2 linked regions of the Anolis sagrei genome follow. The protein of the gene in region 2 interacts with the protein of the main gene of each other region in a pairwise test. Links are inferred from orthologs where the notes say so. Each region holds a gene or a part of one and is shown on either strand. Other genes may lie near its edges. The genes, in order: PDLIM5 and COIL.

What was found.
Region 1: the proteins of COIL (region 2) and PDLIM5 interact in binary tests that used the Homo sapiens proteins (3 or more experiments, as listed by UniProt). The two-hybrid records come from large-scale screens. The link is inferred for Anolis sagrei from reciprocal best matches to the Homo sapiens genes COIL and PDLIM5.

Annotation. Positions count from the first base shown.
Region 1 is NC_090025.1:23,614,108-23,618,026, reverse strand, and holds the start of PDLIM5 (PDZ and LIM domain protein 5), read right to left. Parts: upstream 2,979-3,919; 5' UTR 2,874-2,978; intron 1-2,873. UniProt on the Homo sapiens protein: May play an important role in the heart development by scaffolding PKC to the Z-disk region. May play a role in the regulation of cardiomyocyte expansion. Isoforms lacking the LIM domains may negatively modulate the scaffolding activity of isoform 1.
Region 2 is NC_090022.1:144,152,256-144,156,174, reverse strand, and holds the start of COIL (coilin), read left to right. Parts: upstream 1-1,143; 5' UTR 1,144-1,154; coding exon 1,155-1,405; intron 1,406-3,919. UniProt on the Homo sapiens protein: Component of nuclear coiled bodies, also known as Cajal bodies or CBs, which are involved in the modification and assembly of nucleoplasmic snRNPs.

The sequences.
Region 1 (3,919 bases), on a different chromosome or scaffold from region 2:
ATGAAAATTTGCAGAGTAGGAGCCAGAAAGGTACAAAAAGGAGCCAACCTAATAGTCAGGGCTTCCCAGTTCTAAATAAAACAGTGGTTCCCAACTTCCTAATACCACAACTCCTTAATACAGTTCCTCATGTTATGGTGACTCCCAACCATAAAATTATTTTAGTTGCTACTTCATAACTGTCATTTTGCTACTGTTATCAATAGTAATGGAAATATCTGCTGTGCAGGATGTATTTTCATTCACTGGACCAAATTTGGCACAAATTCCCAATATGCCCATATTGGGGTTGGGGGATTGATGTTGTCATTTGGGAGTTGTAGTTGCTGGGATTTAAAGTCAACCTACAATCAAAAAGTATTCTGAACTCCACCAATGATGGAACTGAACCAAACTTAGCACACAGGACTCCCATGACTAACAGAAAATACTGAAATACCTGACCCCCAGGTTGAGAAATGCTGTAATAAAACAAAGCTGCACTTATTTTCTCTTTCTCAGTTCCTTAAATAATAAAAAGGGAAAGGGAAGGGACTCAGGTCGGCTCTAGGATGAGACTGTTTGTGCCTTTCCTCTTTAAAAGACTTTCTTGCTTTTAGGAGAAAGTGAAGTGTTGATGTGTGTGTATAAAATCAGAGAAGAAATGAATTCCAAACAGAACTCAAAAGAGGGTTAACTCAAGGTGGAAAATGAGAACACAGTGCTGTAGGGTTATTTCTTTCGACCCCTCCTTAAGTAAAGGTTAGAGCCAGCAAAAGCCAAACACTTTGATTACATGCAAAGGGGTCTTATAACCCCTTGGAGACTAAATGTGCATCCACACTGTGGAATGAATGCAGTCTGGCATCACTATAGCTGTCATGGCTCAGGGCTATATGCTCCTGGGAGTTGGGAGAGGGATCTGCTATAGACCTTGAAAAACTTTATAAAACTATGGTACAGCACCATGATTCCAGCATAATGAGCCATGGAAGTCAAACTGAATTCACTTGACTGTGTAGATCAGGCATGTGCAAACTTTGGCCCTCCAAATGTTTTGGACTTCAACTCCCACAATTCCTAACAGCCTCAGGACCCTTCCTTTTCTCCCTCAGCCACTTAAGCAGCTATACCCATGCCTGGTGTAAATGCACCCTGAGAGAAAGAAGATGATACAAGCGGAACAACCCTGTCTGAGAAGTTTGGCCCAATTCAAGTTCCAAAATCCAAAATACTCTAAAATCCACAATTGTCCACGTGATGCCTGCGAAAGCAACAACTTTGCTTTCTGGTGGTTCAATGCAAACAAACTTTGATTCATGCATAATTGCGTTTAAAAATATTGTGTGTAAAATGGCCTGCAGGCTACGTATATTAGGCATATATGAAATATAAATAAATGTTGTGTTTAGCTTTGGATCCCGTACTCCAACGAAAGCATTCCAATATCCAAAAATAAAACTCCAAAATTCAAAACACTCCCAGTCCCAAACATTTTAGATAAGGGATGTTGAACCTGCAGCAGAAGTTTTCCGCTAACTTTCCTCTCCAAAAACTTCTGCTATTAATTTCTTTCTCTGGTGGTGCATATGCTACACAGTAGAATGAATGCAGTTTGACAACCACTTGAGTTGCCCTGGCTCAATGCTACGGAACCCTGGGGATTTGAAGTTAGACATAGCACAGGCATGGACAAACTTCGGCCCTCCTGGTATTTAGAACTCCAACTCCCACAGTTTCTAACTGCTGGGTGTTATGAATTGTGGGAGTTGGAGTCCAAAACACCTGAAGAGCTGAAGTTTGCCCATGCCTGGCTGTAGCACAAACACTCTTTGGCAGAGGAAGCTAAAGACCTTGTAGAACAGTGTATCTCAACCTGAGGGTTGGGACCCCGGGGGGGGGGGGGGGTCACAAGGGTGTCACCAAAGACCATCAGAAAAAAATATTTTCTGTTGGTCATGGGGGTTCTGTGTGAGAAGTTTGGCCCAATTCAATCGTTGGTGAGGTTCAGCATGCTCTTTGATTGTATTCATCCCACCCAAATGTTAAGGTTTATTTTCCTCAAACTCCACCAGTGTTCACATTTGGGCACATTGAGTATTCGTGCCAAGTTTGGTCCAGATCAATCATGGTTTGAGTCCACAGTGCTCTCTGGATGTAGGTGAACTACAACTCCAAAATTCAAGGTGTGCCAAGATTGGTTCAATTCCATCCTTGGTGGAGTTCAGAATGCTTTTTGAGTGTGAGTTAACTATAAATCCCTGCAAATAAACTCCCAAGTGACAAAATCAATCCCCACCCCAACCCCACCAGCATTCAAATTTGGGGTATTGGGTATTTATGCCAAATTTGGCCCAGTGAATGAAAATACATCCTGCATATCAGATATTTACATTACGATTCATAAACAGTAGCAAAATGACAGTTATGAAGTAGCAATGAAAATATTCTTATGGTTGGGGGTCACCACAGCAGGAGGAACTGTATGAAGGGGTTGAGGCATTAGGAAGGTTGAGAAACACTGGCGTAGAACTATAGCTTCCACGGCCCCTTTGCCTTGAGCCACGGCAGTTAAGGAGGTCTGGAACTGGATTAGTTTTACAGTGCAGAGGCCCCCTCAGATCTTTGCAGGCTGCTCTCCCAGACTGTGGCTTTGATGACCCCTCGGAAGACGCTCTGCCTCTTACTTAACCTGCCAGCCCAGGACAGCAAAACGCCGGAGGAAAGTTTCCGAGGCGCCTCTTCTTCTGTCGGGAGCCCTTCTCCGCCTCCGCTCCAGCCTTTAGCCCAGAAGGAGGTTCGCTTTGACGGCCCGCGAAGCCCCTCTTTCTTTCCCTGCCAAGCCCCTTCCTTCCTCCCTCCCTTCCCTGCCTCCTCCCGCTTTGCCTGCTTACCGTCTCGGCACAGGACGCGGCTCCTTTTGCGCCTCAGAGCGCAAACTCCAAGCACACAGGGACTGGCCTTGGGCTCTTGTTTGCGCTTCCGCCCCTTTGCCTGGGCTCCTCCCCTGGGCAGCCAAGGAGGGAAGGGGAGGGAAGGGGAGGGAAGAGAGAAGAGAGAGAGAGAGAGAGAAGGGGAGACAGAGGGGAACCTTCCAGATGCGCCTTTGGAAGAAGCCAAGGCTCAGCAAGCATTCCCTGCCTTGCAAGACTATCCACACTGCAGAATAGGAGAACACTTTGATACCGCTTTAACTGTCAAATGCTTTTCTTTAAGGAAGTGAGAAAGAGGAAATGAGCAGACAGAATTAGAACTGATTATGGCAGGGATGGGCAACCTTTTGAGCTTGGTGTGTCAAAGTTCGCCAAAAAACTAAGCAAAACTAAGCATTCTCTTCCAGAGGAAAAAAAACAACCAATAATTTCACAATTTTTATAGTTTAAATAACAAAAATGGATAATTGTAATATATAACGGTCAGACCCGTAGCCAGGATTTCAATTCGGGGGGGGGGGGGGGCTGAGTTTTTTTCAGAGGGGGTTTCAGGGAGGGGGGCTGAGTCTGAGTGAAAGAGGGTCTAGCCTAGCAAACCTTTTGTATCATTACCCCAATACCACCATGCATATGGGATATATTGAGTATGCTGATCAGATCATGATATGAATAAACATAACAGTTTAAATAATGCACCAGTAAGGCCTTTTCGATAGCTGGGTCCAGAAGCATCGCACGTTATGAAGATGCCGCATCTCTCATAGAATCAAAGAGTTGGAAGAGACCTCATGGGCCATCCAGACCAACCCCCTGCCAAGAAGCAGGAATATTGCATTCAAATCACCCCTGACAGATGGCCATCCAGCCTCTGTTTAAAAGCTTCCAAAGAAGGAGCCTCCACCACACTCCGGGGCAGAGAGTTCCACTGCTGAACGGCTCTCACAGTCAGGAAGTTCTTCCTCATGTTCAGATGGAATCTCCTCTCTTGTAGTTTGAAGCCATTGTTC
Region 2 (3,919 bases):
ACTTCTGAAGCACCATCAACACTGCCATATAAAATCCAGATTAGCTGTGGAATTATGTTAGTCTATGTTGGGCCAGAGGTTTAGCACAGCTGGTAAATCATCAGCAGTTATAAGATCTATCAACCAAAAGGTTGCAAGTTTGAAGCCCTGGGTTGGAGTGAGCTGCCAACTGTCAGCCTAGCTCATTGTTTACCTAAGCAATTCAATTTAGGTACCACTAAATAGGATGGCTCTTCATCATATGAGGGTAGAGCAACAGATCCCCCTGGACTCCAGCCCAACCTTCCATGGCACCTCCTTCTGTTCTGTGTATCATCTATACAAAGTGGCATTGAATGTTTGCCGTGTATGTGTACTGTGATCCACCCTGAGTCCCCTTCGGGGTGAGAAGGGTGGAATATAAGTAAAGTGTTGTTGTTGTTGTTGTTGTTATTAGTCTACACTGCCATATAATCCAGTTCATTGTGGCATTTTAAATGGCAATGTAGATGGGGCCTGAGGGCCCTTCCAGACTGGCCCTATATACTAGGATCTGATCCCAGGTTTTCAGTTTATCCCAGGGCCCTTCCACACAGCCTTATATCCCAGAATATCAAGGCAGAAAATCCTACAATATTTTTGGAACTGGGTTATCTGAGTCCACAGGCAGATAATGTGGGATTTTCTGACTTGATATTCTGGGATATAGGGCTGTGTGGAAGGGCCCTCAGACTATCTGGCAGTGTGGACACATACAATCCAGTTTAAAGCACAAAATGTGGGATCAGATCCTGGGATTTAAGGCCAGTCTGGAAGCCCACATTATCTGCTTTGAAGTGGGATATATGGCAGTGTGGACTCAGATAACCCAGTTCAAAGCAGATATTGTGGGTTATTTGGCTCTGATATTCTGGGTTATATGACTGTGTGGAAGGACTTTGAATCTTCCTTGCCAATGAAAACCTATGACCCATAAAATCGACAAAGGATTTAGAGGCACAACCATATTTCTATTGATATTAATCTTTTTTTCCTCTCCAGTGAAAGGATTGAGCGCCGCTGCCGAAAGAGGGCGCTGGCGGGCAAGAGGCTGGTGTCCCTTCTTCGGTCTCGCGCGCTTTCTCTTCCTTTGACCCTCGCGGCGTGCCGTAGCGAGGGTCCTTTCGCTCCCCAAGATGGCGGCGGCCTGCGAGGCGCCGGTGCGGCTGCGGCTGCTGTTCGACTACCCACCCCCGGGGAGCCCGGCCTGCGGGCTGTGCTGGCTCCTGCTGGAGCCTAGCCAAGTGCGCCTCGTCACCGACCTCATCAGCCTCATCCGGGACAAGTTCGGCTTCAGCCGCCGCGCCAAGCTCAGCCTCTTCCTGGACGGGGCGCTCCTCCCGCCCACCGAGAGCGCGCGCCTCGTGCGGGACAACGACTCCCTCCGGTAGGGACCCGGGCAGCACCCCCCCCCCCCGCCCCAGAAGGGATGCCGCGCCCCGGGAATTGCCTTCCACGTCCAGCGGCCCCAGGAGACCCACGCAGTTCCACAACAACTTGGGAGGCGGGGGGGGGGGGGGTCATGTCATTCCCAATTCAGTGTCTAGATAAGACTTAACACTGGGGTAGAATTAATGCACTTTGACTCCACTGTAGTTGTCCATGGCTGAATGCTATGGAATAATTAAAATTGTAGTTTTACAAGGTCTTTAGTCCACTTTGCCTAAGACGGCTGGTGCCTCGCCAAACTACACATCCCAGGACTCCACAGCATTGAGCCCACGCAGTTTAAGTGGGACCAGACTGCATTCATTCCACAGTGTAAATGCACCCACAGACTGGTCGCCACAAGTGAGAAAGGACTTGAAGGCACACAACTGCAACAACAACAAGAGGCAGGTAAGTTCTTGTGGGTTTTTTCGGGCTATAGGGCCATGTTCTAGAGGCATTTCTCCTGACGTTTCGCCTGCATCTATGGCAAGCATCCTCAGAGGTAGTGAGGTCTGTTGGAAATAGGAAAAGGGTTTATATATCTGTGGAATGACCAGGGTGGGACAAAGGACTTTTGTCAGTTGGGCTAAGTGTGAATATTTCAACTGACCACCTTGATTAGCATACAATGGGCTGACTGTGTATGCTTACCAAGGTGGTCAGTTGAAACATTCACGCCTAGCCCAACTGACAAAAGTCCTTTGTCCCACCCTGGTCATTCCACAGATATATAAACCCTTTTCCCAGTTCCAACAGACCTCACTACCTCTGAGGATGCTTGCCATAGATGCAGGCGAAATGTCAGGAGAAATGCCTCTAGAACATGGCCATATAGCCCGAAAAAACCCACAAGAACTTAGTGATTCCAGCCATGAAAGCCTTCGACAATACAAAGAGGCAGGTAGTTGTGGTGCTCCGCTTACAGATGATGAGGCTCGCTCCTTATTTGTATAACACTGTCAGATACACATTAGGCCAGGCGTCCTCAAACTGAGGCCCGGGGGCCGGATGCGGCCCTCCAAGGTCATTTACCCAGCCCTTACTCAGGGTCAACCTAAGTCTGAAACGACTTGAAAGCACACAATAACAACAACAATCCTATCTCATCAGCCAAAATCAGACCCACACTTTACACTGAAATACTAATAAGTTTATATTAGTTAAAATTGTTCTTAATTTTAATTATTGTATTGGTTTTTTTGTTTGTTTTTTTACAAAATTGCACTATAAATAAGATATGTGCAGTGTGCATAGGAATTCATTCATTTTCTCCCCGAATTATAATCAGGCCCGCCAACAGTTTGAGGGACTGTGACCTGGCCCTTTGTTTAAAAAGTTTGTGGACCCCTGCATTAGGCCTTGCAATAAAACAAGTGAAAGCAACAAGTCCTACAATGTATCTGTGCACAATCATAAGGCCCCTTCAGCTATATAAAATCCACATCGAACTGTATTATCTGGCAGTGTGGATTCAGGACCATTCCACACAGCTGAATAAAATCCCACATTTTCTGCTCTGAAGTGGAATATATAGCAGTGTGGACTCAATCCAGTTCAAAGCAGATATTGTAGGATATCTGCCACAATATTCTGGGTTATATGTGGCAAATTTTGGCCGTCCAGGCGTTTTGGACTTCAACTCCCAGAAACCCCTGCCAGTTTACCATGGGAATTGAAATCCAAATCAGCTGGAGGGCCAAAACTTGCCCATGCTGGTCTAATATATACCTGGAACAACAAATTACAAAACTGTACAATTGCCGAACAAATTACGTGGATAAAATGCCAATAAAAAACAAGACACAATGTGATACGAAGCACACAAAGAATCAAAACAGATAAGACTGCAAAACAACATTAAACTAAACCTCAAAGGTTTGGGCAAATAAAAAATAATCAATTGAGATTTAAAAACTTAGAGGGGAGGAGCTGTTAATGTTGTGTGCCTTCACGTCATTTCTGATTAATTGTGGGCCTATAAAAAGTTTTTATTGCAAGTTTTTTTTCTGAGATTGAAAGAGTGGGAGTTGTCTGAGGTCACCCTTAGGATTTCTAAGGCTAGGTGGGGAATCAAGCTTTGGCCTCACAGAGCTGTAGCCCAATGCTCAAATTACTAAACCACACTGGCTTTCACGGTGGGACAACATCTCCCCTAATTCTGTACCTATATTGGCTAGGACTGATGGGGATTGTAAGCCGATAAGTATGGAGGACCAACAGTTCCCTCCCTTTGTCAACAGTTCCTTGGTATAAAGTCACCAGTAAGCAACTTGGTTTGTTTCCACATAACGAAAAATAACATCATAGCAAAGACATAGTGATAGGCTTGGTTGCTTTTTCTCTACTCCTTTGGGAGCCCTGATTCACAGCGGGCATATAATTTTTCTAGGAGTGTCATTGTTTGTTTGCAGCTTGATCCTACACAGAACTAGGTATCCTTTTCAGCAAGTTATTTGTGCTATGCCCAACT